Linked DNA regions of Oreochromis niloticus. The protein of the gene in region 4 binds, or shares a complex with, the protein of the main gene of each other region. Links are inferred from orthologs where the notes say so. Each region holds a gene or a part of one and is shown on either strand. Other genes may lie near its edges. The genes, in order: exosc7, exosc1, exosc6 and exosc2.

Region 1 (7,062 bases), on a different chromosome or scaffold from region 4:
TTTTTTCTCATCATTTATATTCAATATTCAACTTCCTGTATTACATTATGTTGTAACTGTGGCTGCAAAGGTGTAGCAACACAGTTTGTTCCAAAGCTACACACACACAGAAAAAGCTGAAGCATTTTTGGGAACTGTTTGCTTTAAAGTTCAAGTTTCAGATTACTTCCCCCGCTGCAAATAAGGTGTAAGTTCACCACCTTCACTCTGGTTAGATGAACGATTGCTTTATTGGAGTACTAAATGAGCTTTGAGTACACATGTTAGTGTCCCTGTAATAACCACGTATTTACTCGTGTGACTCACTTGATGTGTGTTTGACTCAACGGGTGGAGGAAGTCCACCTGTCGAGTTTCAAGTAAAACTTGCTTCGGGATGCAGGAAGCTTACACATGGCCGGACTGTCGCTGAAATCGACTCCCTTCATTAGAAACAACAGCTAGAAACAGCAATGAAACCAGTGTTGTGTGAAAATGGAGACGATGAAAAAAGATAGAAACTCAAGACAATGAAATAGGCAAGAAAGCCCTGGAGTGAAACTAACTACTGATGCTGAGTTCATTAACAATTAAGCCAATAGTTTCTTCTGCAGAATGAGTCTATAGATTTCTGTCAGTGAATAGCTGCTTATACAGAGAGGAAAACCAATTTAAATGGAACAGAAACACTTTACACAACCAATCTTGTCTAAGACGATCCGGAAGATACAGTAGATACAGTATGTGAAAATGTTTAACACGGTAAAGGTAAGTTCATTTGAAATGCATGCAGCACACTAAAACACTCCATGATTCACAGGTATTTTTGATACCCTGCTGTAAAATAAATTACACCACCGAGTGAAGGAGGCAGCTGAGCGGGCAGGCAGCACGAGGACCTCCTGTTGGGATAAACAGCCAGTTAACATGCTGATGTTGTTCCACTTTACTGATAGTCTCATCGGGCCACTTAAAAAACTGAAAATGGTTGTTTCACTCAAGACTAATGTGATGCTTCAGGGATTATTACCGCAAAAACAAACATGACCTGATTATGATACCGAATCACATTGTTTTATTTATCATCACGTACATACTGCTGTCCCTGTATTGAAGCAGAGTGGCAGAAATCGGAGACACATTAGACACAACAAACTGCTCATGGAGTAGCTGTTGATGGTCTTTAAACTGACAGAGCGAACTCTCCACTGGCTAAAGCAGTGATGCCAAACATGCGGCCCACCAAAGGGTCCAATCTGACCCACTGGATGGCTTTACAAAGAGTGAAAATTGCAAAGAAGTCATTAATTTGTCCAGTTTTTTCAGTAAAAAATGAATTGTTACTCATTTTACCGATGGCATATTTATTGTACAGGTGTGAAACGAATTGTTAGTTGAAAGTATTTCAAGATCTAGACATGGTTTAAACATAAAGACGTAGAACACTACACCCATTTTTCTCAAGTTCACCTCGGGTTGTTTATCATTTGTTTCACATGTGAATTTTTAACATGAAATGACACCCTGTGTTGTAGGCTTATTTTTAAGGGAGTGGGGTAAAAGTGTGCCTTTCAATTTAGCTTATCATTTCATATTTTTCGAAATATTGAATTCAGCTAAGGTGAACGCTTTTAAAATGCACTTCTTTACACTAAAGAAACACTTTCTTACACTTAAGATTTTTTTAATCAAGTTTTACTGATTTAGCAGACTTGAGATCAGCTTCTTGACCAATGCTTGGTGTGTGCGTAACCTGTGGACTACAGATGTAAATTGAATATGTGGCATGTTTACATCTACATTCATTATCACACACTGTTTGTGTTTAATAAAACATCTCTCCTTTGCGCTGTAGTCCTATACTAACACTCAGGTGCTTGTGGCCACAGATCAGGATGCACTCTGTATTCTTACAACTTTCTATCACAGCCCTCATGATGCTTGAGCACCCATCACTCGTTGTCCTTTTTTGGACCACTTTTGGTAGGTAAAAGTCTCAAAACCTGCGCTCTTTGGATCTGGTGTGACCTAACTGCTTCAAAGCAAGAGGCTCCTGGGTTCAAACCTTCCTGGATGCTCTCTGTGTGGAGTTAACCTGCTCTTTCTGTTGTTGTGTATGTTTTATTTAGCTGCTCCCATTTATACCTAATGTCCAAAGTTCATGTACGCTTAATTGGTGACTCTAAATACATTAAAGGTGTGGATGTGAGCTACGAAAAGAGTTAAAGGTGGAACAGAATAAGACCCTGGGTGAATGCGAGTTGTCAGTAGGACTATTAAATCTCAAAATCTCAAGTCAGTCCTCCTTCCAATAAATCATCAAGAACAGACTGTTCACCAATATATTTGACTCCATGACAAAGTGCGACTCTGAGGAGATGATCACCTTTTTTTTATTTCAGTCACCTGTCTTTGGTTTCACTCTTATATTACTATTCATTAATTTCTTATCTCACTGTGCTTTTTTGTATCTTATTGAGCTATTTTGTTTTGTCATATGACATTGATTTTATTAAGCCATTCACAATGAGATAAGCTATTTTAATAATAGTTGTATTTAATGTTATGGCAACTGCAAGACAGCAGTTTCATTACTTGTTTATCCACTACATGATTTACTGACTGGTCCTTCCAGCTCGTCTTTGGCCGATTTGATTTCGAGGATAAAAAAACAGACATCTGCTAAAATATGTTGAATAACCTGAAAGGCACTAAGGAGGAAATAGAACAAGGGTGTTTCTGGGCTCATCTATATGGCTGAAGTGCCTTTGAGCACGGTTTGCTGTATTTCAGGTAAAGTAACCACCACAAAGATATGATGAGTAGCGTATATGGTAACATATATGCTGTATAGGATATAACTACTCATCTTTGGGAAACCAAACCAGGAAGTTAACTGGTAGCTGGAACAGAGCGGGATGACTGGTTTTCCAGCAGTTGATAACTGGAAACACTTAAAATGTACAAAACCATTTTCCAGAGTGAAACTGGGTTTTCACAGCCTACCTCGCACTCTCCTGCCTTTCTCGACGGACGCTTCTTGAACTCTTCGTGTAGTTTAGAGGCTTGTAGAGTTAAGACACCCCAAACTATCCACACACGCCTGTCTGCCCCTCCGCTGCGTCCGTTAGCTCAATCCCAGCTAACCTCACCGATCTTCGGACAGTTGCCCTCCACGGCCCCAGCGACTCGGCTCCCGCTCTCGCTGCTGTCTCGTTTTCAAAGAAGTGTTAATTATCCTCGCTAACAGTCAGCTAAACGTGACCTGAAACAAGGTGCTGCCGAACTGCCGCTCCTCCCGTCAGATCCAGAAAGCTCTGCGGGTAGCAGGACAACAAAACGCAGATCCAACCAGGAAGTCAGACACCCTATCCTGTCTATTATAGGCCGCTTTGCCCTGAGCATTGGCTTCTAGGTGGTACTTTCACCCGGGCTGTGAGATCAAAACCTTGCAAAATCCTACCGACCCCCTTACGATGGTGAGGGCTACTGAAGGTTAAAGTGAGTAAGTCAGTAAGGAAAATAAATAATGAAATAAATAAGGGATTGTACTAGGGGAGAAAAATTTCCATAAAAAATTACGAGGAAAAAAAATGAGAGGAAAAAATGTGTCAAATAACCCCCCAAAATTACGATCTTTTAAGCAAAAAACAAGAACAAAAAAATGTCAATCTATGACACAAAAAGCAAATTTACACGCAAAAATTGGCAATTGTTGAGAAAACACTCACCTATTTATTAAAGAAAATAGCAAATTTTCTTTAATAAAATAGGAAATAGGAAGTTTTAAAAAAAGAATCTAAAACAGCAAATTTACAAGTAAAATATATAGGACACAAATTTCGTGGAAAAAAACTCACAAGAAAAAAATTACAAAAAATACGCGGCATAAGTTAAAACACGTGCAGAAAAGTCGTTGTAAAGGGTTGTTAAAACTTTAAGTTGCTTTTCGTGTCAACATCAGTGGAATATCTTTGTTTTTATGAGATTACTCTCTTGTGTTTGTTAGGTGGGGCGCTTACCTGTAAAGATTATTAGAAAACTCAAACAACCAGCATGCCCTTCGGATTTTTGCCCCATTGTCGACTTCTGATGACGCAGGGGTAAAGCGACAGACATACACACACATGCTAAAAGTGTTTCTGAAAAATGGCAAGAGTGCAAGTTAGTGAAGCTGAAAAAGTGTACATACTACACGGCATACGAGTAAGTTGTTAACAAACATGTTAAAAAATACAGCCCCAGACTTTTATTTATTCTGTTAAAATCATTTCAAATGTATGTATTTATGAGCTTTAGCGATGGGAAGCTAGCTGTATTAGCACTGTCTCTGTTGACATGTTTCTTCCTGGTCTTCAGGATGACTTAAGGGTGGATGGACGAGGCTGCGAGGACTACAGACACATGGAAATAGAGACCGATGTGGTTTCCAACACAGACGGATCCGCCAAAGTCACGCTGGTAATTAAATCAGACAGCATCTGCAGCTGAGAGCTCTAAAGAGAGCATGTGTGAACAGCTGAAAGACTGAAATTTAATGATATTTCAACAAAAATCAGTTACGGCCCAGTCCCGTCCTCTCATTTACGACTCTGAACTCTGGTTTGTAGTAAAAAGGTAACACATACAACAGCACTGCCGAAGGCCTCAGAGTATGTCCCAACTTCTTCCTGAAAAAGAGAATCCAAATAGTTCAAAGAACCAGAGTGTGGTTTGAGAAATCCAACACTGGCACATATGATTGGACTACATACCATAGAGTCCCATTTAAAAGGGACTCTAACTAAGGCCACCCTCCACAACAGTCCCACATGTGGCCCTTTGGGAAAATTAGTTGCCCAACTTTGCATTGACTCGTTAAACGATTTACGCAAAAACTAATTCTTAAAATCACATCTAAATTTGACTTGGAGCCAGTGTAAGGAAGCCACTATGGCTGATATGTGATCTCACTTGTCACTTAAGAGGCTTCCCACAGAGTTTTAGTCCAGCTACAGTCAGCAAAGCAAAACCTGAATGACTTGACAGATGAATGAAAACTGTTAGTAGTAAAGCTGAGATGAAGTGAAGGCATGAATAAGCTTTTCAGAAGTCAGAGTGCTGTTGAAGCTCATTTCCCTGTTCCACTGTCACACCAACCCTTTTATATACCCCCATGGTTTGTCTCTCTTTCAGGGGCACACAGCGGTTCTTGTGGGGGTTAAGGCAGAGATTGGAAAACCGAGGCCAACGGTGCCAACTGAGGGCTATTTGGAGTTCTTTGTTGATTGGTATGTATGCTGCTAAATGATATTTCTGTTTATGAGGGGTATAACAATTCTGAAACTGTGGTCAAAAATAGCGATACAAACATCCACAATATCATTTCACTATTCCACTTGAAGCTGGTAATTCCACGTTAAAGCACGCGTGTCTGGTGAGAGCTGTAATCAGGGGTGTTATGTGTTTGAGTCCAGAGGTGCCACTATGGATTTAACAGAGGGGGGAAAAGTCCCACAGCTCAGTAATGCACAGTAAGCAATTTTCTACAATCATCACAGTGATTATCGAAATTTGCTTTCTATGTTAATCACAGAATTATTTTATTTTATTTTTACATATTATTGATGGGCACAAACTGTATAGTGTAGCAGCAGAGTTGGTGCTAAAACATGTAAAAAGCCTGAAATTCAGTACTGATTTTGATTACTTCTGATTTGATTGATTAATTATTATCATTATTATTATTAATATTATTATTACAATTATTATTCTCATTATTTGCTGTGAGATTTATTTGGCAGCACGAGAATGTAAAGTAAAGTAAAAGTGTGACAGCTGCTGTTATATAAAAAGAACTCGAAATACCCCAGAATAAAAAAAAAACAAAAAAATAAAAACAGATTAATTTAGTGTATTTTTACTCCATTCATGAATGTGGTTTAAAAAACAACTGTTTTTTTTGTTTTGTTTTGTGGGGAGTTGAAAGGTAAGCCAGGCTGTGGTTCAGAAGAGTTGTTACACCCCCTGTTGGTTTAAACATGGGTGCGCGTCATTTTTTTACAGTGTTTAGGTGACACATCATGAATTCAAATCAAAATTTTGCATCAGCAATTAAAGATTTTAAAGACATTGAAAGTAAAAATAAATCATTTGAAGTTAAGTGAGTGTTTTAATGGATGTGCTGCCACCAGGAGGTAGTGTTGCATTATCTGTTCCCTGGGTTTCCACCATAGTCCACTACAGAAAATATTATCATATGACCATACAAAACGTATGTGTGTGAAGAGAGGTAGCAAGACTAGCAAGCTTTACTGTGGGATAAGCTCCTGCTGTACGACTTTACTGGGTTGTTTCTTCTTCAGTTCGGCCAATGCGACCCCCGAGTTTGAGGGCAGAGGGGGTGAGGAGCTGGGCACGGAGCTGAGTAACACCCTCTACAAAGTCTTCAACAACAAACGCAGCATCGATCTGAAGAGCCTCTGCATATGTGCTGGAGAACACTGCTGGGTGCTCTATGTGGATGTGCTGGTGAGTCGTAGCATCCAATGCTGCCTTTTGCTTCCTGAAATTTTTTTCTTTTTTAATATTTATTTTTTTTCTAGTGTGCAAAAAAAAAAGAAAAAGTGCACTGTACACTGCAGCTCCCTTTGTCCATGACTGCAGGTTTTTTTGCCCTGCATTTGAGGGTCATTGAATTTTGACCAGTGATCCAACCAAAATCCTCTCCTCTGCTGCAATAACAAATGTGTTGTTTTTAGACAGAACAAGATATTTTTGGACAATAATTTGACTTTGAGAACTTATTACACCAGTCATTTTCACAATTTTCTGACATATTGTAGCACAAAAAAACGAATAAATAATTAAAATTATTCCATCACAACCCTAGATGTGATTCTTATGGGCTTCTGTTTTTATCCTCAAAACGACAAGGCTGCATTTACCTTTTTCTTCCTGTTTGTATAGTAAGAGTTGTTAGCGGTGTAGAGGTGTTAAGATTTACTTGAAAATTTCCAAATAAATCCAAACAACTTGGGTCAAATCTCATGTTTTTATGCTTCCACAGCTCCTGCAGTGTGATGGAAACTTGTACGATGCCATA
Region 2 (7,915 bases), on a different chromosome or scaffold from region 4:
TATCTATAACATCTTTGATGCATTTAAGTAAATTGTCTACAGTGACCTAAAGAATTATGAAAGTAACCGATTATCGCGTTTTTGACAGTGGCAAGAGAAACTATGTAGACTAGGAGCTTTGAGATTATGGCACAGTCTTATGTTTCGATTATGTTTCACAAATGCTAATTAACTAATGGTTCTATCTTAAATATGATCAATCTTTCGCTCTCCGTGTATTTATACACCACTACAGAGTAGTGTATAAATTTAATAACCAGTAACTAGATTTAATCAACAGTAACAAATTTGAAACTTGTGTGCATGTGTGTCTCCCTCTGCTCTCTTCTCTTTCCACTCATTAAACTGAATTGAATAGATGTTTCTAATTTAGTGAGAATATGCGATAAATGACTTTTTTCAATGATTAAAGTGATCATTCATGATTTTTTTTTTACAGGCACGTGTTAACTTGATGCACAAAAGTCGGTGTGGACGTGCCGCTGTGCGCATCTTCCTGCCTCCCTCCTCCTCCGTTGAACGCAGCACGCCTTGTGATTGGTGGAAACTAGCAGGAAGAGAGGAAGAGGACTCAAATCGTGAGGGCTGTCAAACTGGGCTAGTCGCTAACCTTCCGCAGTAGCAGACCTGCCATCACTCGAGCTCACGTAAAGCAATCACCGACCTGTTGCTGTGTAGGAACTTTCAGGGTTTCGGTGAAGTCCGGCGAAATCTGAGAGCGTTGCTGCTGCTGCTGCCGCCTTTTAGGAGGAGTCACTTTCCCCGAAGTTCCCGGAAATACAGCGTAGAGGGCATTGGTGTGAGGATGGCTGCGTACAAGCTTGTGCTGATCCGCCATGGAGAGAGCTGCTGGAACCAGGAGAACCGCTTCTGCGGCTGGTTCGACGCGGACCTGAGCGAGGCCGGGGAGCAGGAGGCAAAGAGGGGAGGACAGGCCTTGAAAGGTACGGTATCAGAAAATGTCATCGGGCCTAATAGGGCTTTATCTCGGTCACTGGATTAAGCCAAGGCAAGCCGGTGCTTACGCAACTTTGTCGAATGGGCAAACCGGTAGTAGGCCCAGTGGGGCAGAAGGGATGGAGTCATTCCACGGTTTGTTCCGCAGTCTGCTGGGCCACACGGTCACTGCTTCAAATTAAATGCTACTGGAGTTTTTTTCCATTAGCTTCCCTCCCACCAGGGCAGACAGTTTGGCGCCTCCTGGTGCAGCAGTACAGCCTCTAATTTTAATTCAAAGGAAGCAATTCTTATTTGTGGTGGTCTTTAACCACAGAGGTATTTAGGAGAGTCCTAATGCGATTAATTTAGCGTCTTTGACGATTTTAAGAGTGTTTGTATTTATTGAAATGTTTTTTTTCCCAAGGAATAAGCTTATTAATTAAAACTGGAGCATAAAAACCAGGCCAAAGATGCTTTTATTTCCAGAGGAGGGCAGAATATTACTGTTTCATGAGTCATCATGCTGGATTTTGTGGGGTTAGGTGGACGGAACAACACAATTTTTTTTTTTTTTTTTTATATGACCTGAAAATCCCAAACAGGCACATCTTGCAGTGTTAAGTTTGCCAGTGCCTTGCGGCCCCTGACCAAGCAAAATCAGAAGCAACTGATAAAAGAGGGGCAATAAAACATTAAGGTATCTATTATTTGAGCCATGAACGGCAGCTGCAGTAGTATTCCTTCATGAAAAATATGACAAGCTGTTTTGAAATGCACATTTCTAAATGTCATCTCTTTTTCCCTTCAGATGCTGGCTATGAGTTTGACATTTGCTACACATCTGTCCTAAAGAGGGCCATCCGCACTCTGTGGTTTGTCCTGGATAGCATCGACCAGATGTGGCTGCCTGTCCACCGGACCTGGCGCCTCAATGAGCGTCACTATGGTGGTCTGACTGGGCTGAACAAGGCTGAAACAGCAGCCAAACACGGGGAAGCCCAGGTCAAGATCTGGAGGCGTTCTTTTGACATTCCTCCCCCACCTATGGATGAGGGACATGACTACTATCAGACCATAAGCAAGGTATTAAGCAGCTCGGGGAAATTGTGACAAGTTGACTCTTTTCGTTATTGCATCAATGTAACCCTGCGTTGCTGAAACTATTTTGACAACACCGACTTCTTCTTTTTCCCTGTAGGACCGACGTTATGCTGACCTGACAGAGGACCAGCTCCCTAGCTGTGAGAGTCTTAAGGACACCATTGCTCGGGCACTTCCTTTCTGGAATGAAGAGATTGTTCCACAGATCAAGGAAGGAAAGAGGGTGTTGATTGCTGCCCATGGCAACAGTCTCCGCGGCATTGTCAAGCACCTGGAGGGTAAGGAAAAGAGAAACTTGTGAAACATTTCTCAGCACTAAAAACACCTTTCAGTGTTATTTCACTTACTATGAGTCAACAATGAATTGGGGTACCTGCTAAACCTTCATAAAGGCCTATGAACTTGATATCATCCATTTGGGTTTTAGGGAAGTCAGAAATTATCTTATAGACAAGAGCGTAGAGTGCTAAGTTATTAGCTGTTGCAGTGGCTTAACTAGCAGATAGTTATTGGTCTAGGTGGCCACCGCATGTGAATTAATGTGACTACATTCCTAGTAGTGCAAACTAGTGCAAACTTATGACTGTGATAACTTTAGAGTTACACAATGTTGGTTTTTGAAATTATACCATAGAGGCATCTACTAAAAATCTCAGGCAAGTTTGAGTCCTGGTAACCTTGACCTCAAGGTCAAGGTCACCAGGACCTTGACCTTGAGTTTGAATCTGTGACCTTGAACTCAAAGTCAAGGTCATAGGTCACATTTTATACTATTTCTGTATCTACTAGCAGGCTGAGGGATAGGCAGTATTATCTGTTCCAAGCAGGTTTATTTTAGTTCTTAAGTTGTGAATTTTAACATAAGAGTTTAACAATCATGCGTTTGTCATACAAAGCTACCATCTGCTGTCAAACATTTTAACGCGGTCTAAAGCAGCAGCAGCAGCTACATGCAAATGAATTACAGCTCTGTGTCTGTCATTTTTTTTTTCATAGGTATGTCAGAGGAGGCCATCATGGAGCTGAACCTGCCCACAGGCATCCCCATCGTGTATGAGCTGGACAAGAACCTGAAGCCTATTGGGCCCATGCAGTTCCTGGGAGATGAGGAGACTGTAAAGAAAGCCATGGAAGCTGTGGCTGCTCAGGGCAAAGCCAAGAAATAGACTTGTCCTTCCTTTGGGAGTAAAGAATCATCATCTGCTTTTTTTTTTTTTTTTTTTTTTTTCTTTCCCCATCAAGTTGTGAAAGGGTCATTTACTGTTTGTGTCATCACAGACTTGAGGACAGGTAGACACAGAATGTGCACTTTATCTTAATACCACCCATTTTTCACAAAAATGTACAATCTGATGTTTAATTTGACTGCTCTTTACTTTGTTACATACTGAAACATGCATTTCATTATTAGACTGTGGATATCAGTTGTAATGTGGTTTAAGCACTGACCAAATATAAATTAGGGACCAGCAAACAGACTACCCCAGCAGAGTTCCAAGTATTCTTTCCAATTTACAATCCATGTAGATGAAGCGCAGCGGAAGCAGGAAAAACCAAAAGTTACACTGGCTTTGTTAAAGAGAGAGCAGATTTGCTCTAGACTGCTGAATATTGTTTGCTGTGGCATTGTGCTTAAAAATGAATAAATGTTGTGAGTCATTATGCAGTGTACTGTGTGTGATGTCTTTTTTTTTTTTTTCCAGGACAACTGCACTTTTTTTTTATATGGTAATTGAGAAATTTGTCTCAGTAAAAGGCAAATATTGAAATGCACTTTATCCAGTTCCCTCACTAAGTAAATGCGATTGGCAGAAATTAAAAGTTTGTTGTAATTAATTATGTGACAGTCCCTGTTTCTCCCTTTTCTGTCACAGTAACTGCTACTTCAGCAGCTGTTCTGTTGGTTAAACATATTTGTATTTCTTATATGCATCCATAGATTAGCACATTTCACAGGAGGCTCAGATACTTAGTTTTGTAAACTGCAACCAATCCAAAATATGAGAGAGTGTTTTAGTTTGTGGGATGGGGGCAAGTCTTTTTTTTTATTTTCTCGAAGGTTTGAGATGCACCGTAACAGGACTATGATAAACATGATTATTTTGAAAAAATGGCTGCTCGGTGGCAATTTTCCGATTATATGATTCTTTTAAAACCATGCTCAGAGAAACAGATTTTGAATAAAAGCATCGACAATTTAATTTACATTGTAGGGAAGTAATAAACCTAGGAAATCCCAATACTGGAAGTAGCTAACTTTCATAGCAGAGGTGGGTAGATTGATACCAATATCAATAGTATCAATAAGAATGCTGGTACTGGTGTCCGATACTTTAGCATCAGATTGCTACCAAATTTTGCAGTATCTCGCAGCAGTATTTCATAATTATCTGACCATATATGACTTATTCAATCATATAGTAATGCACACATGGCACGTACCCGCCCATGTGTGGCTCAGCAATCATGGCGGATCAACGCATTTTGTTCCGCTGACGCTGAATGACACTGACCAATCAGAATCTTTCTGTGCCCTTAGTCCTAACCAATAGGCTGCCTACGTACGCCTCTCGAAAACATGTCGCCGATGAAGCTGTGCGTTCCCGGTGAGTCCAGTAAATTCGTCTCTAAAAGCGCTTAAAAACTAAATATACCAGTGTGTAGATTGTATGTTGGGATATGTAGACAGCTTTAACAGCTTTAGAGTCATTTTCTATTAGAAAAGGAAGTTAAACTGCATTCTGAGCGTGTGAAACCCTGGTGATTATTTCCAGCTGCCATGCGTGGAGTGGGCTTTGGCTTCCCGTACTTGTAAGGCTGTAGTAACTTATTTTACAATCAATCACATGTTGGATCAGCTGACTGTCAGATGGAGTCGGGGTTTTCAGGCCTACCGTATCATGGTCTTTTACTGTATTTGCAGGGCTGTGAGTTACTGACTTTGGCTTTCCACGGCTGATGAGATCCGATCCTCAGCCCTGCCCATCTCCTCGGGCAAGATAACGCATTCCTGAGCTTTGTTTTGTCACACCCGTGGGAAAGCCGCAGGTCTATCCGGCGCATGGCAGTAGTGAACCTTAAATGAGTTGTCTGCAGGAGTAACATTTAACTTCATTCTAATTACGGGTGAAAGAGCACAAAGTAGCAAGATAATTAATTGTAGTGCAAGAAAAATGAAGGGTAGTATTGTGTCACATGACATAAATTATGTTTTGTGTTTTAATCTTCTTGTCCATGATGTGTTTTGTGCTTAAGGTTTGCAGATACACTGTTAGTCCCACAATGCTGTTACATCAAAGTATCCTCAGTTAGTCTCTCAGTTTCAGTTAGCAGATGATAACCAAAATAAGGGAAACTATTATTATTATTATTTTTATTATTCTTTAGTTATATATTATATAGTCTACGTTCACCATTGTAACAAAATATTCTGTTACAATGGTGGATGCTTATATTAAACATGGGCAACGTTTTAAATAATGATATGTACAGATCATCCCTGTAAGCCAGTAGCTCAGGCTTCAGACTCTACTGAATGCTAAGTTTCGTTTTTTTTTTCTACTTTTGGATCTTTGTTATGTCCTCAAGAGAGGGAGGATGTTCAATTTGTCTGTTTGTGAAGGGAAGTCAGTCAGATAAAGATGGTTGATGGAGATGTGAAACGGCTGGGTTCAGACATGGAGCAAAGCCCAGTATAAGATAAAGATTATTTTTGGTGATGACTCATGCAAAGATGTTTTTATTTTAATTCTTTTTTTAGAAGGAACAGTGCATCTCCAGAACCCAAACACTAACACATCTGTGTCTTTTTTTATACTTAGGTGACAAACTATGCAGCTCAGAAGACTGTATTCCTGGCACAGGAGTATACCTGCGACATGGCTACATATACTCGTCACTAGCAGGCTATGTGCTCAGGAAGAATGAGGGAGAGGAGGTGAGGGGTGTGGGTAAGACAGGGGAGGGGAAAGTTTGTTCAGCAGTGAGACAAGTACAAATGCCAGACTAAAGGTATTTTTGCAATGTCTTTTGATGTGAGTAAGCGAACTAGTTTTGTAATTGTCTAAGGTGATATTCACATCATATGGATAACTTCTACTGGGATTATTTTGTCTCCTTAGTTACCAGTGATTTCAGTTGTGAGGGAAACAGAAACACAACTGCTGCCAGATGTAGGAGCAATAGTCACCTGTAAGGTATGCAATAGAATAAGAAACTGTTACTATCGCTGCATGTTCTGAGTAAATAATCTTGCACAGTTTACAATCTGTTTTATTTATTTTTCATTTAACAGGTAACCAGCATCAATCCCAGATTTGCCAAAGTCCACATCCTTTATGTAGGATCCACCCCACTGAAGGACCGCTTTAGAGGCACGATCAGGTAACCACAAAATTTGAGCCAGTTTTTGTCTAATATTTTATTGTAGACTGTTCAGTTTTATTTATACAGCATCAAATCACAATAACAATTGCTTCAAGGCACTTTATATTGTAAGGTAAAGACCCTACAATAACACAAAGAAAACAGAGAAAACCCCAACAATCATATGATCCCCTATGAGCAAGCACTTTGGCGATAGTGGGAAAGAAAAACTCCCCTTTAACAGGAAGAAACCTACAGCAAAAACAGGCTCAGGAAGGGTGGCCAATAAGATAAGATGAGGACTGATTATTCAAGACCTTGTATGTGAGGAGCAGGATTTTCAATTCAATTCTGGATTTAACAGGGAGCCAATAAAGAGAAGCCAATATACGAGAAATATGCTCTCTTTCTAGTCCCTGTCAGTACTCTCGCTGCAGCATTTTGGATTAGCTGAAGGCTTTTCAGGGAGGTTTTAGGACATCCTGATAATAACGAATTATAGTAGTCCAGCCTAGAAGTAATAAATACATGAACTAGTTTTTCAGCGTTAGTCTGAGACAGGATCTTTCTCATTTTGGAAATGGAAGAAAGGCGTCTTACATTTTTGTTTAATATGTGCATTAAAGGACATCCTGGTCAAAAATCAATCCAAGACTCCTCACAGTGTTACTGGAGGCCACGGTAATGCTATCCGGAGTAAGCATCTGTTAGACACTGCATTTCAAAGATTGTTAGGACCGAGTACATTAATCCCAGTTTTATCTGAATTTAGAAACAGAAAATTAGAGGTCATCCAGGTTTGTATGTCTTTAAGACATTCTTGTAGTTTAACAAATTGTTGTGTGTTATCTGGCTTCATAGATAAATGAATGAATAGATAAAGTTTAGTGTTATCTGCATAACGTGAAAATAAGTGAAAATGTATGCTATGTCTTCTAATGGTACTGCCTATGGGAAGCAAGTATAATGTAAACAGAATTCTAGAATGGAACCCTGTGGAACTCCATAGTTAACCTTCCTATCTGAAGAGGACTCATAAGAAGCTCATTTGTAACCTTCACTGAAGCTGATTCTGTAAAGAAACTGTTAGAAATAGCAGGTGAAGTAAGAATGAAGAAGCCTTTTTAAAGTTGCTGCTATCCTATGATTGGAACTAAACATAAAAATAGTAATTACTGCATCCAGATTTTAAGATGAATTCAAAAACATATTTTTTTATTGTTTTTTTTTTCAAAATAAAAATTAATCTAATTGTAATTCTCAGCAGTACTTCCCCAGCTAGTCTTTTTCCAACTCAAACTGATAAGTTGATTTAAAAACAACGAAATAAACTCATTAAAGTCTCTACTTAAACTCCATATATGCATGCCAAACCTTCAGACTGCTAATCGTGTGAGATGGGCCTGAGGCAGCCAAAAGCAAGACCTGTTTTGAGGAGGTGGTTGTAGAAAATGAAGGTGGAGCAGCAGCATTGACAGCATTGCTAGACTCAGAATCAGCGCTAGGGTTG
Region 3 (6,798 bases), about 14 Mb from region 4:
ATTTCACAAGATTGAGTTGTCTTGACATGTTCATCCCAGATATGTTACAGTCTGCTGGAACCTCCAAATAACATTTTGCTTGTGTGATGAATAAAGGTAAGTACAAAGCTTGAGTGCTGCAGCATGTTTGTGGTAAAGATAGTCATTAACCACAGCCAGATTTCACTAAAACATTAGGGTGCCCCCTAATGGTATGAGGATGACTTGTAGAACACAAAATTATGTTGACACAGATGTAGCCATACCTTACCTGCTCTGCCAGGACACAAGACAAGGACAAGTTTAATGGTTGTGTAATTCTGTTTGTGACAGAGGGTGTTGACAAACTTTTTGTGACCAAATCCATCTGTAATTATATTGCATATATTGCTTATATGAGGCTATTTGCATTGCCAGAGTTCACCTACTAAAAATATACCAGTTGAACAATTTCTCTCCAGTGTTGTGGGAAGCATTTAGTGTCAAATCCCAGGGAGAATATACATTATTTAACTGTCTATATTTAATGAGGAAATGCAAAGAGGCGAATCTCAGAGTGAATATTTTTCTTTTAATATATAAACTAATACCACACATGGAAAAATAGATCATGTTCTTTACTAACGATTGGAAATGATCTACAGGAAAAACTAAACGGAGGAGTTCGTGGTTCACTCAGCTCTCTGATTGTGATGGAGCAGCTTTGCGCACAGCCTTTGTCAGGGCACGCTGGATAACTGGGTACAGTTTATAGCATCCCTCAATACAGGTCCTCACCCCAGCGGTCAGAGTCTCTTCAGTCATGTCTCCATCAGACTGCAGTCCAGAAATCTGGTTCAGGCTTGGGAGGAATGCGACAGTCAGACCGCCCTGGTTCTCACAGCTCACTGAGCTGCAGCCATTTTCCTCCATGTAGGAAGGGTCAACCACATAGGAGGTGCCATCCTGGCGCATGGAGCAACCGAGCACCAGATCATACATTTCGATCCCCGCATCTGCAAGCGCAAGAGAGGCGCATGTGACGGCATGGGCCAGAACTGAACCGCTGTTCTCAAGAACCATCACGCTGACCTCGATCTGAGAGCGAGGGTATTTGTGGAGACATATGGCGGGCTGCAGGCTCTCATGTAACATCAGGGAAAAGTCCTTGTCCTGACTCCCCTGAATCCAGGAGCCCCTCTCCGGGCAGGAAAATGGAGCAAAGCGCATGTCAGTAGTCAATCTGGACACAGAGAAAAACAGTTGTGGTTGAGTCTTTTTTTTTTTTAAACTCTCACAGATATCAGTGTCCACTTCAAACTGAATGCTTTATGGTATACCCACATAAGCTCAGTTTTCTACCCAACTATGGTACTAAATAACAGTTCGCAGTGAAAGTAATGCAAAAACTCTTATCAAACACAAGGAGTTGCCTCTTTGTGAACATTTATGATTTATGGATATGTCAAAAAGCATTTTATTCCCCTAAAAAAGTGCTGCATTTGGATTAAGTCAATAATGTCTCCAGCAACTGTTTTGGGCAAAAGTTAACATTCTGTTGCATTTCGATTGTTTATGGGGTTTATTAATGTTTAGACTAGTTTTCACGCATGTGTAGTTTAGAACAGTGGTGGAAATAAAGAAAACCCCAAAATGCTGCTGTCCATGTAAGACACAGCAGGCTGTATTTTTATTATGACTTCACAGTTTAATCATCAGAAACCTATGTCTTTGTTTGTTGTGTTGTTAGAGCAGTCAATATGCTTAAAGATTTAAAACAAACAAACTCCATACCTTCCACATTTCATATCCGTCTCATCCTTCCGGTCTGTTTCTCTGGGGCCGTAAACGCAGCACATCAGCTTGGTGTTTCCAGCCTCTAAGTACGCGGAGCCTTTAGCTTGGCTCACCAGGCCACAGCGGACGAAAACGGGCCGGACGTCGACCTGATCCCGCCGCCGACCGTCCGCTCTGGGCCCCTTCGAGGGCAGAACCGCCGCCGGATCGCACGAAAACAGAGACGGGCTCTGAGACACTTCTGGACCACGAACACGTTTGGTGTCAGTCGGCATGTTGAAGTAAATGACCCAAGCAACCGGTCCCGCACGAAATCTCTTCCCCTAGAAACATAGCATGCGGGAGAAATGCTTCCGCTAATATACGCACACTGAAGGATATTACATCAGAAAAGCGAAATATCGAGTACGTACGGATGCAGCAATATTTCATCATTATTACTAGTCAGTTCCTCTGCCATAAAATAACAGTCACAAAAAAGTGATACATGTTATTGATCAAGGACAGAATACAATCATTTCTTTTAAAAATGTATATAAATAAATAACAACATTAGTTAAAAAAGTTAGAATACATGTTCGGCTCGACTTGAAACAAAAGCTGGAATTCATTGGGCTTGCGGACTTTTCTCACATATTTCTCTACATCAACTAATATATTTAAAAACGACAACAAAAATCTGAGCTGACACCGTTTTAGTTGCATCAGCCAAAGCACGGAGGTTTGTATCGCTGCCGTGGCGGGCTCTGTTAAGAAGGACAGTAGATTTGTTCAATAGGAAAGCAGATTCCTGACGTTTCTGTGTAGCCGGACCAATTGGAGGCTGTCGTAGGTGTGACCGCTGGTTGTGCTTTCCTTCTGTTTGAGCAGCGTGGAGTGAAGGAGAAGTACCTGATTCATTCTGCGGGAATAGCGGCTTCTGTGAGTATTTTCATGTGTTTAAATGTAGTTGAAATAAGCTATCTTCATTGTACTGTTCAGCAGAATAGCCTTTCAGTTAGAGCAGTGTGCCGAACTGTCTATCTCAGCCTGAGTGCAGGGAGGTAGCTTGATTAACTGGCTAACACATTAGCCTGCTAACGTCAGATCAAGCTAGTGCCTCTACCTAGAATAGCAATTATAGTCAGCTGACTAGCTTACATTGCAGACTGTCGGTTTTTGGTAGCACTTTAAGAGGAAATATGTTGTATCACATGACTGTCACAAATTTGTGTGGTCTGGAAGTTTATGTTAGACTTGCGAGATTAAGTTCACTGGTTTTGTGCCATGGAGACAGAGAACAGGGCTGTTCCTGTCACTAACCTGAAAGATGGGTCCAGTATTTATCATCAACCTGGTCTCCGTCTACCTGTTCTATGATTATATATGTCCCTATTTTGTCTTGAAAATGTACCATTATTTATTTCTCAAAACCACTGGGCTAATACTTACACCCCACGTCTTTTCTTTCTCTGGTTGCCCGCTAAATGGTTTGTTGTCAGGATGGGGACATGGGCTGTTTGTCATCCACTCCTTATTCCCAGAAAGCTGAAAACACCAGCTGAGGTTTCCTTTGGCAGTTAGTTTACACCAATGGGAATTGAGCTCTGCTGCCTTTTAATTATATATGGTATCACATTTTTAATGAAATATGTGTACTGCAAAAGTCCAAATAAAGTGCTTTTGTTTCCATTCTTACCTAAAATTGGATTTGACTTCATGGTTTAAGATTAGAGCATTGTGCGCCTCACCTGTCTTACTGGATTCCTGAGCTGCTGTTGTTTATGAGGAGAGCCTCAGGCCAATTAGCTGCAGCTAGGTTAACAGCCACACCGTACAAACAGACTTAATTTTAAGCTTTTGGTGTGGAGTGGTAAAATCAAAACATGCATGACACTTGAATGACCGATAAACAATTTCATAATGTTTTGATACTTTATGGACAAAGTCATGTATTTTCTGGCCAATACTGGACGGTTCTTTAACCAGCCTTTAAAAGCACTGACAAGTGTATAATTCTTTTTTTATTATATGGGATTGCCTTGAATGACATTTTACTACCTAAAAAGGAGCTACTTCAACAGCTTCCAACAAAGCACATTACTTGCATTTAAAATATGACAGAAAATTGTACAACCCCAAACTTATGCACCAGCCTTGCCAGAGCTCTCGCTAGTTGCAAAGTCATATGACAGGAAGAGAAACCCATGGGAAATTGCTGATGCTGTTAATTAAGGCAGTGTTTTAAACAGCTGGTTAAAAAGCTTTACCCAAGATGTGACACACACACACACACACACACACACACACACACACACACACACACACACACCTACCTACCTACCTACCTACCTACCTACCTACCTACCTCTTCTGTACTTGCCAAATTAGTATTTGGATACAAGAGCACTAAGAGTGTACCCTTAAGGTGACTACTGCCTGAAAGGGAAGAACAGGCCTTAATTGTGTTTTAATAACTTAGTAGAAAAGTTGCTGTTACTCAGACCAAATAATCATCCACCTCTCTAAATGGGACCAGTTTCTATGGGTTAAATTATCCTTCTGTCTTTGACCTGGAACAATTTAATTGGACCAAGAATTAACTAAAAAAAAATCACTGGCTGCATTTGGACAAGACCTCCTTAAATGTGCTTGATAGCTAAAGTGTTTCTTTTCTCTGTGTGTAATTTTGTTCACAGAGCTTCTTCAGAATGGACTCCTCCTTGAATGCAGCTCAAATTCGCCAGAAGTTCATTGACTTCTTCTGTCGCTATGAGCACCAGTATGTTCACTCTTCATCCACCATCCCCCTGGATGACCCCACGCTGCTTTTTGCCAATGCTGGCATGAACCAGGTACACACCATGTCTTTCCCAGCACTGCTTCCTACACCATGGCTTTTTTTTTTATGTACCCACTGATTCACAACTTTTAGAATAGGCTCAGAAATCAGATCTAGCAAACTTTCTTGAAAAAAATAATTTTTTTCTCAAGATTTTTTGTTTTTGCACCTCATTTCCTTTAGTTCAAGCCCATCTTCCTCAACACTATTGATCCATCACATCCCATGGCCAGGCTGCATCGTGCTGCCAACACCCAGAAGTGTATTCGTGCAGGAGGCAAACACAATGATCTGGACGATGTGGGTAAAGATGTCTACCACCACACCTTCTTTGAGATGCTGGGCTCCTGGTCCTTTGGGGACTACTTTAAGGTATTACATTTTTTTCATCCAATACATCAGTTTAACTTTTTTGTTACTTGTATTTTTAGTCTTTCCCACAGATTTAGATCATGTTTGTGGAATGGTGCTCGAGTATACACACACGTTGCTGCAAGCGCTTTCACCATTTATAAATTTCTCCTCTGCAAATATTTTGTTTGCCAAGTATTTTGTGACAAATGTATAACTGGGCAGCATAATCTGCTCCCTCTCAAGTCAGTCTACAACTCTATAACTTCTTTGTCTTGGACAGTAGCTGTTCAGCTTTGTAGTACTGGTGAGCTCATTGTAGAGGCACAGGAAAAGGGCACTTTCAAAATAAGAATGAGGGAATTGTTCGCTAGTATGGAAAAGGAGATAATTCTAATACAAAAATGCTTGAACATATGAGCCTGGACCTCATCTCATTCTTTTTATATTTTTGGGTAAAGTGGTTAAAGTTGATTTATGTGAGAATCTTGCTGTTCTCTCCTTTCTGTCAATGTTGCTTGTTATATTACAATGACATATTAATTATCATTATTAATGGACAAGACGGTGTCTAAACAGCTCTAAATTGTTATTGCATCATTTTTGCTCTGCAGGAATTGGCCTGTAAGATGGCCTTGGAGCTGCTGACTCAGGAGTTTGGTATTCCTTTAGAGCGCCTGTATGTCACCTACTTTGGAGGTAATGAGGATGCAGGCCTGGAGCCCGACCTGGAGTGCAAACAGATCTGGATGGACTTGGGGTGAGTGAGCCTTGGGAGCATTGACTGTATGTAAAAATAGATAAAGCTTGTGATGTGAAAAGTGAAACCAGTTTGGAAGTGCCTTAAACCTGCAATCTTTTTAATGGCCAGAAAGAGGCGGCGACATTCCAAAACAATGTCATGGTCTGTGGGAAAATGGACCTTGGTTGCTTTAGTAAACACTAGGTTTCTGGGACCTATTCCAGGAAGCAGGTTTAGCTAACAACTCTTGAGTTTATCAACCCTGAGCTGAGGAAAACTGTGGGTCTAAAAAGAGATTAAACTTCAACTTTGAGTTACAGAGGGTGTCAAATGTAAGGGTGGCAACAGTGATTACTTCATGAATTTATAATCCAGTCAGAAAAAAATCTATATAGTCTCCATTAGGGCAGGGCAGTATGGCCAAAAATATTTATCACGATATATATTTGAAAATTTGCAATAACGTTATTACTGACGATATAATTGACACGGGACAAAATGCTTTTCAACTCCACAACTTTATTAGTGCAAAAAAACCCCGTCAATGTATTTTCACTTAAACAAGTAGCTGTTTTTTATGTGCATTAAAACTATATAAAAATTTAATAGTGAAAATGCAAATTCCCTGCTGACAGTTTAACCAAAAGGCATTTCTAGTGGAAATTGGCCGACATATCCTCAGCATAACCATGTGTAATATCCACAAAACTTAAAAAGAGGTTATACACACACAATACGGTAATATTATGTTGAAGCACAGTATGTATTGCTCCGTGAGCCTCCTGACTACGGTAGCTGTAATGCTCCAACAATCCATCAAGCGGTGCGGCGTCGTACTAAAACATTTTTTGACAGATTTTTGAGTGCCGTGTATCACAAAAAATCATTTCGAGGTCAGTAAGCACAACCAGAATTCACACATAAGGCGCACCGGAGAAAATCAAAGGATTGATTTTAAGTATGCCTTATTTTCCGAAAAACAAGGTAATAACGACGGCCCACTTGCATGCTCTACCAAAAATTGTACTTTGGTGTGTATCTGACGGACGAAAACCAAACCAGTTCCACACCACTGAAGTTGCACCATTTTTACAAACCAATTCTGGTTCATCTGTTTCATGTAAGTGAT
Region 4 (7,637 bases):
AGCTGGATCGAAGGTGACCAACTCAAACAGTCAAGGATGCTCCAACTTGATGGAATATTTGGTTGCTCTGGCCTTGCGTTTAGGTTGAATGATGAAAGTTTGTGCATTTGGTTGAAGCTAAGCACACAAAACACTACTTGTGTGAGCAGTAAAAATCATTAATGGATGGCAGCGTTCCCGTTCCATTGACAGCCATGCATGCCCGAGCCTCTTTCCAAGTTTTAGTTCATCAGTCCATAAAAATCTGTTCCAGAACTCTCACTGATTTTGCAAACTACAACCAGGCCTTTCCATTTAGAAAAAAAAATAAAACTGTTCCTTGTGCTGAATGCTTAGGTTCTCTACATATTCTCTCCACTTAGTTTTTCAGTCCACACCTTCATTTTAAAATAAATGTTTAAATTAACTACCTTTTGATACAAAATATACAATATATTAACTATATATTTTTGCTTTTCTGTATCTTGTTACTTTCTTCGTAAGCATGGTCGTGTGTTGAATCCTCCTACTGATAGACAAGAACAGCTCAATACTCTCAGTGAACTTTTAGCAGCCAAGCTGAAAACTAATATTGCAATTACTATTGCAGACAAAACTGCCACATAGTTCTTTCGATCTTGATGTAAACGTACTTAAATCAATGCTCAAACAGAGGCACAGAAGGAAAAATGTGGGCAACCGCCAGTGCTACCCCTCAGCCTCTGAGCAGACACACCTTTGATCTCAGTATGAAAATTCTAGATGGCTTCCTTTTCGAGTTATCGCATTCACACGAGATTTGTGAAGATCAGAGAACTTATTTTGACCTTTGACCTTGAGGTCAAGGCCGCTGAGATTTGAAGTCAACCAAGATTTTTAGTAAATGCACCAATTGTATCAATTTGAAATTCCTACATTTCCTGAAACAACAAGAAATTGTTTTACAAATTCATATGCCCATTGATCAGTAATAAAAATATGGCGTCCTACCTCAAGGCTGGTGTAGAAACCTCCAGCTTCCTCCTCCTGTTGGCCCGGTGTGGGATACAACCACACAAAGCCGTTATTCCCCAGGATAATGGATGCGCCACACGGCAGGTTGTGGAAATGTGTTTTCTGCCTCTTGATCAGAGAAGGGGAAAGCTGGACCAGCACTCCTTGACCCAACTGATAGTCAGGGGAAGTGGAGACAGGGTGTTAGTTTAAATGAAAATGAAAATAACGATTGTTACTCTTATTATTGAGCTAACACAGTTACTCCAGTTTTTGCTTGACTTCCCTGGCATCCTGTCAGTTTTAGGGTTAATTTGAATATTATATTGATTGTTTTTTGGATACTGATTAGGTTGGCCTGGCACAACTGTATTTGTCTGGTCTTATTAATGTCCACACTCCTGTCAGAGCTCTGAGGTCTGCTAATCAGTTGATTAAAAAAAATAGAGCTCGTTGAGCTTTTTCAGTTGTTGCCCTGAGTCTCTTGAATAAGTTTCTTTTTTTCATTAGATCTACCAAAACGGTTTCTATTTTTCTTTACTCAGTTTCTACTTTCCGGCCTTTAAAAAACCTTGACATCTTGCTCGTGAAGTGCTTTGATTAACTTTGGTCATTTGTAATGTGCTATATAAATAAACTTGCCCGTGACTTTTTCACATGTCTTTGTGTACACTGGAATAACTTACTTTTCCATACTTTAAACTGCGGGTGTGAAGTGACAGAGCTCCATCCATGAAGACAGACTGCACCTCTGCCTGAAACCACAGGAAAGGTTCAACACAGATTATATAACTGGGAAGCCAATGAGAGATTATAATAGAGAAGTCAGACTTACACTGATTAGATCTCCTTCCTGAAGATATTCTCTCATGGTCAGCTCATCTTCTGCTGATCTTCTCCTCTAAAAAAAAAAAAAAAAAAAAAAAAGGAAAGAAAAGAAAAGAAAAGAAAAAGAAAAAGAAAAAGAAAAGATGATCAAATATTAATTTTAATATGTCAGCCAAAGCCGTCTTCTCCCAGTGAATCACATTTTCTATCATCTCACCAGCTCTCCTCCTGGCAGGTTTACAGAAGACAGCAAGAGGACAGAGTCCAGTCGGGAGTTTGTCTCCACTTTCCATCTTTTCTGCTGCACCTATACATTTTAAAGAAGAAGAAGAAATTTTCTTTAAAAGCCTTGGAAACCAAAATGAAAACAAGTTGCTGCAATCACTGTCTTTTATTATAACTAGAGCGGCTGTATACGGGAACAAATACTAGGCATTACCTCTGTAATTCTGCCAACCACAACATCTCCAACTTCACCATTAAACCTGCAATCAAAGCACACTTCACAATGTAAGAACGAGTATATAGATAACAGGCCCATCTAAGTCTTTGACTGTTTAAGAGTTCAACCACTCACCTGGTTTTAAGTGGCCTGACACAGATGAGTTTGTCCACCCTCTGCACCTCTCCTGCGACTGAAGCTGTCAACTTGTCGTCATCAACGTAGGTGCCATGACCCCTGCGGACAGACGGTATCAAACATTAGTTCTGAAGAAAACAGCCAAAAAAATAAAAAGAAATAAGGGGTAAAGTGCAGCATTCAGAGGTCACACAAAACAATGCTGCAGTTTATCCGATTAGAGTCCTTATCCGTACTTACTGTGTATCAGTCTAGAAGATAGCAAATGAGACAGGCTGACTTTATGCTCACCTGCTAATTCAGTATGGCCCTGGCTATCATCTGGAGCATTTTTAGTTTATTTTTTAAATTACCTTTACAAGCCAGATACCAGAAACAGACCCGAACAGCAGCACACTCCTGTGTTTGGTTGATTTTCCATAATAATTAAAATAAAACCAACACCTACCTCATGAACCCAGTGTCTGAAGTAATAACATCCCCCGGTACGACCAGATCTTTTCGGTCAAACGCAGACGCTGATAGCGACACGGTTTTTCTAATAGTCGGTAATCTCATATCTGCAGCCATGCTTCTGCCTTTGCTTCTTCTTCTCTTCACTTTTTTGGCGGTATACGGAACTGATAAGAGTTTTACTGCCCCCTACTGACGCGTTAGTTGTATTTATTTACTTTTTTAAACCACCGAGTCTAAATAAATGTATATTAAAAAAAATAAATATATGTCTTATATCTGTGGCGTTAGTGATATATACAAACAGTAAATGTTAATGAGGAGAAAAACTCACAAACACTGTTTCTTTTTCTTCTTTCGCCACTGGCATAATCTAGCTTCTTCCCAGCCTATCTCTAGCATCCTCTGTCACAACAACTGCACATCCTCCTTCACTACATCCATGAATCTTCTCTGTAGTCTTCCTGTTTTCCTCCTGCCTGGCAGCTCCATCTTCAACATCCTTTGTCCCCTATATGCAATCCTTTGCTCCGAACCATCTCAGCCTTGCCTCTCTTGACTTTGTTTTCAAACCACTCAGCCCGAGCTTTTCCTCTGATATACTAATTCCTAATCCTGGCCATCCTGGTGGACTGCCAGTGGTAATCTCAACATCTTCAGCTCTGCAACCTCCAGATCAGTCTCCTGTGTTTTTGTTAACACTAACAAAGACACAGTGCAATTCCTCCTGACCTTCTCTATACTTTATGAAGTACCATGCATAATTTTAAATGTCAGTTCTCCCTTGTCTTCACACGAGCCTGCAGAGTGCTTCAGCATAGTCCTGTTCCACAAGCTTTATTTGATTTGATTAATATGGGAAGAATGATATACTAACATGATTAAAATGCCACGTTATTTTAATAATACTCTCATTCTGCTAAATAGCGCCACATTTCATGAATGGATTTATGAGCTGGATACAAGAGATAAAATTGATGCACAGGCTCTAAATAATTAGGTTAAAAGCTTGTGTGCATATATGTTGATTTAAAAAGAAAAGAGCACATGTAATGTTGATTATGGCTGCAGGATTCAGTGTCCTGGTTCCAATTTTAATATGGAAATAATAATAATTATTATTATCAAAAGAAGAAGTAGAAATAGAAGAAAAATAATTTATTTCATTTAAAAGATGTCAGATAGACTGCAGTCGCACAGTTCAGAAGTCACACCGCAATTAAATTGTTTTTCCCAGGCAATTCCATTTTCACCACCAGGTGGCAGCATCGAGCCAAGCTGCCGCCACCGCCACCTGGATTCGTACAACGGAGCGGTGACGTCAGATGTCAACAGGACGCAAACTTCCACTGTCTCAGCCAATCAGCTTTAAGTCAGACAGACTCTTGGAAAGATGGCGACGGTGAGGCGCAGAGGAGTGAAAACTGGACGCTTTGCTGTTACTAAACACCGCAGATCCACACTTCGCTAGAACCCACACGGCACCGGGTGTGGAAGTTAATCGGGCCGCTCTTGAGTCTGAACCCGCCGTTTGGGGCCGTATGGTGAACCTGCGGGTCTGCGTGCTGTTGTTTTCGGTTACACTTGGACTGCTCATTAGCTTTAAGTTGAAAAGCCAGCGCTAGCCCGGGGCTAGCTGTGTAGCCTCCGTCGGCTGTTTGGAAGCTGTATGGCACCCTTAACCGGTGTCAACACTGGCTTGTATATACCTTATATTTTTGGGGGGTATTTCCGGAGTTGCTCATGAGTCACCTGGATTAAATATTGCACTTAAGGAGGAACAGGGGACCACAGACTATTTGGCACTGCTGCGCCGAGGCGGAGTGAGTTTGCCGTCATGTATTTTCTAACCGGCTGGCCACGGAGGCTGCTTTGTCCGCTGAGGAGCGAAGAGGAGCCCTTCTACATCCAGCCCAGCTCCCAGCGCTTTTACTTCGCTCTGCTCTCAGAGACCCAGCTCAGCGTCTGGTTTAGTCGGGTGAGTTGAAACTCGGATCGGTCTTGAAATCAGCTGACAAAAACAAAAAAACGCTAGCTAAGATATTGGATCTGGTATCGTTTTCATTTCAAACGCATTGCAGCAGAGGGTGATAGCCTGGCCGGCTGCCCTTCATGTTTTATTAAGTGCCGTAAATAAACACGGGGGGAAACTGTGGTGTCCCCAGATGAGTAACTCAAACTACTTCTTTTTTTTTAACCTTGATGTGTTGGCAGAGGGTTCCACGTACACACCTATCAGACTGCAGGTGAACTCGTTACACATCATTACACGTGGATGAGCTGTCGTTCATTACTTAAGTTATAACAATAATTTGACAGCAAAACTCAACCACAGTGGATTGGTGTTTACCTGATAGACGCTTTATAGCAGTTCAGTTTAAAGTTTCCCAAATGTTAGTAAATTGTGTATTTTGGTAGGTGGACTGGTACTATATAGTGCCTTTCTGCTCAGATGAGCATTCAAAGCACTTTCTTACTATAAGTGTTACACACATTCATACAGATGCCTACATTGCGGGGGTCAGTACCTTTGGTATCTTTGGAGGAGTCAGGGAGCAGTCCACGGACCTTTAGATTGGTAGACCACCTACTCTACCAACTAAGCCAAGTACAGCTACCTCTGCTGTACTCATCAGTTTTACTCAGCAGCATACAGGTCAAAGGTTAAGTTACTGTCAACAAAACATTTGTAATAGTGTTCAAAACATGCCATGGCATGTTTTGCTTACCGGTAGTTTTCAGGAATTTAGGCAGCGGAGTTACAAAATAAATGTCAACATTTATCTCAGCACAATAATCAGGCTGTTTATTTTGCATGTCATGGCCACAAATGCATCACACGACAGGAACATTTCACAGTGACTTAAAACCAATCAACCAATGTTAATTCTGTCTATTTATAAACTTATTGGTGCGGTCCATTAAGTTTATAAAAGTTCCAACATGCTGTGCTGCAGCTGGTTTCTTAACAAAACACCAAACTCTGTCGAGCACTGCAACATCTAAAACATCTGGCTTAATTGACTCCATTCAGTCCACTGAACCTGCTGGTATAGAGCCAAGGGAGCAGTGACTTTGAGGTGCGTGGTAACAACATAAACAGGGCTGACCAGATGGCGATGCCAGTGATGTGACATTTGGACAGACTGTAGAAATTAGTGGTAGGTCAGGAGCTTGTCAAACACATGAATGCTTTATTGGCAAGCTCTTCTTCCCAAGAAATGCAAATAAAAACATCAAGGACTTGATAAGTTGTTGAAACGAGGGTTAATTGATTAAGTCTAACAGCATAAGAAAAAAATATATGCGTATATTTAAATATATATTTTGAGTCATTGCATGTGGGATTCAGGTGATGTTTGACATGGTGGCAGCTTCATCATATTAATTCCTGTTTTTCACACTTTTTAAAAAAAAATCTAAAATGTAAAAAAAAAAAAATGCAGAGAGTAGACGTGGTTTCTCTTTTACTGTTTCCAGGGAACTTCTCTACCCACTAAGCTCAGCTTTCAATACCATAGAAATGTGGAATGGGTCATGAATTGTTTGGTGTGCCTCCATTTTAGTACTTCTTCAGTATCTTCATCAACATCATACAGAGTATTTTGAATTCTTCCGTGTTGGCCTTGTTTATTTGGACGTTTTTGCCATGGTGACATGGAGAGGGAGCATATGATTGATTTTTATAACCTGCACTTGGGTACATTGTTTATAACGGTCTGTGATACACAAACATGCACACACACAGTCTGAATATTATTGAGTTGTGGCAACAATGGATCAGGGTTACAGTTAATTTCCCGAGACCTGCACAGGATGCGACCTTGTTTTGTTTCCCCTCTTTCTTAAGAGTTCTGAGTGCCTGCAAGTATCCGTGGGGCATCCAGGAAAAGGAATGTCGATTGGAGGAACTTCTTCCTCTTAACATGTGCTGGTCACCCCTACTAAGTCCATTGTGTCCTTCAACTTTTCTGTAGAGCTTAGGGGTTATCAGATGGCTAACATCAAGCTACTGCAGGGCTACCAGAGGAAGAAGTAATTTAGAATTTTAAACAAAATAAGGAAACAAAAGTTGGTGAACTAAATAGCACCAAAAATTTAGCTTAGTTGTTTTGTTCAGTCTTGCCAACTGATTGAAAGAAAGTACCAAAAGTACAGACTAACCTCACTGTGATGTTTCCTTTCAAATCCAGTGTGTTGATGTAGAAAGACAAAAGTAAGCTATTGAGCTGCCAACTTGTCAGTGTGCTACGTCTATTTAACTAAGTTTTGCTTTTCCTATTGAGGAGTTGGGTGTCTGTTTCCATCTGGTTCAGGTGTCATTGGCATTATTAAATTTTAATTGTATGAAAGCGACACCATAAGGCAGGAATGGTGAACCCTGTTGTGTCATTACAGTGAGTAGATACCAGCATTAAAGTTGTACAGCTGGAATTACATTACTGCTTTACCTCACCGTAGCCAGTGCCCTATTTTTTCTGTAATACCAAACCTTTTTTATATGTTCTCAATGGAAACCGATTCAACAGCCTTAGACTCCAGGATGCCATACATACTTTGAAAATGATTATGGTGCTGATTGTGCAAGTGGAAGGACTGGATTAACTGAATCAAGAGAGGTCACCAGAGTGAAGCCCACACATGAAAAAGCTCGATTACCACTTTCATTGGCAGTAAAATCAATTGGCAGTCATACTTTTGTAGCAAGTCTCAAGCTTCCATTATTGCTGATGATCTGTGCTGTTATTGTTGAATGTTGAATTGTACTGCGCCAGATGCTTGATCTTAAGAAACCAAATATTTT

The links.
Region 1: exosc2 (region 4) and exosc7 share a complex: the UniProt entries of both Homo sapiens proteins name them as parts of the RNA exosome core complex. The link is inferred for Oreochromis niloticus from reciprocal best matches to the Homo sapiens genes EXOSC2 and EXOSC7.
Region 2: exosc2 (region 4) and exosc1 share a complex: the UniProt entries of both Homo sapiens proteins name them as parts of the RNA exosome core complex. The link is inferred for Oreochromis niloticus from reciprocal best matches to the Homo sapiens genes EXOSC2 and EXOSC1.
Region 3: exosc2 (region 4) and exosc6 share a complex: the UniProt entries of both Homo sapiens proteins name them as parts of the RNA exosome core complex. The link is inferred for Oreochromis niloticus from reciprocal best matches to the Homo sapiens genes EXOSC2 and EXOSC6.

The regions. Positions count from the first base shown.
Region 1 is NC_031985.2:15,930,205-15,937,266, reverse strand, and holds the start of exosc7 (exosome complex component RRP42), read left to right. Parts: upstream 1-4,025; 5' UTR 4,026-4,127; coding exon 4,128-4,184; intron 4,185-4,337; coding exon 4,338-4,439; intron 4,440-5,153; coding exon 5,154-5,248; intron 5,249-6,322; coding exon 6,323-6,488; intron 6,489-7,026; coding exon 7,027-7,062. UniProt on the Homo sapiens protein: Non-catalytic component of the RNA exosome complex which has 3'->5' exoribonuclease activity and participates in a multitude of cellular RNA processing and degradation events.
Region 2 is NC_031971.2:31,387,469-31,395,383, reverse strand, and holds the start of exosc1 (exosome complex component CSL4), read left to right. Parts: upstream 1-4,884; 5' UTR 4,885-4,909; coding exon 4,910-4,967; intron 4,968-5,073; exon of another isoform or gene 5,074-5,213; coding exon of another isoform or gene 5,214-5,220; intron 5,221-5,861; coding exon 5,862-5,977; intron 5,978-6,161; coding exon 6,162-6,236; intron 6,237-6,334; coding exon 6,335-6,423; intron 6,424-7,915. Other genes in the region: pgam1b (phosphoglycerate mutase 1b), read left to right, coding at 806-944, 1,748-2,022, 2,138-2,318, 3,037-3,206. UniProt on the Homo sapiens protein: Non-catalytic component of the RNA exosome complex which has 3'->5' exoribonuclease activity and participates in a multitude of cellular RNA processing and degradation events.
Region 3 is NC_031972.2:7,647,190-7,653,987, forward strand, and holds exosc6 (exosome complex component MTR3), read right to left. Parts: upstream 2,079-6,798; 5' UTR 2,031-2,078; coding exon 1,753-2,030; intron 1,202-1,752; coding exon 655-1,201; 3' UTR 531-654; downstream 1-530. Other genes in the region: aars1 (alanine--tRNA ligase, cytoplasmic), read left to right, coding at 4,446-4,589, 4,760-4,948, 5,542-5,687. UniProt on the Homo sapiens protein: Non-catalytic component of the RNA exosome complex which has 3'->5' exoribonuclease activity and participates in a multitude of cellular RNA processing and degradation events.
Region 4 is NC_031972.2:21,288,296-21,295,932, forward strand, and holds the start of exosc2 (exosome complex component RRP4), read right to left. Parts: upstream 3,001-7,637; 5' UTR 2,951-3,000; coding exon 2,829-2,950; intron 2,480-2,828; coding exon 2,378-2,479; intron 2,286-2,377; coding exon 2,240-2,285; intron 2,108-2,239; coding exon 2,018-2,107; intron 1,874-2,017; coding exon 1,808-1,873; intron 1,728-1,807; coding exon 1,659-1,727; intron 1,147-1,658; coding exon 970-1,146; intron 1-969. Other genes in the region: guanine nucleotide exchange factor subunit RIC1, read left to right, coding at 4,671-4,811. UniProt on the Homo sapiens protein: Non-catalytic component of the RNA exosome complex which has 3'->5' exoribonuclease activity and participates in a multitude of cellular RNA processing and degradation events.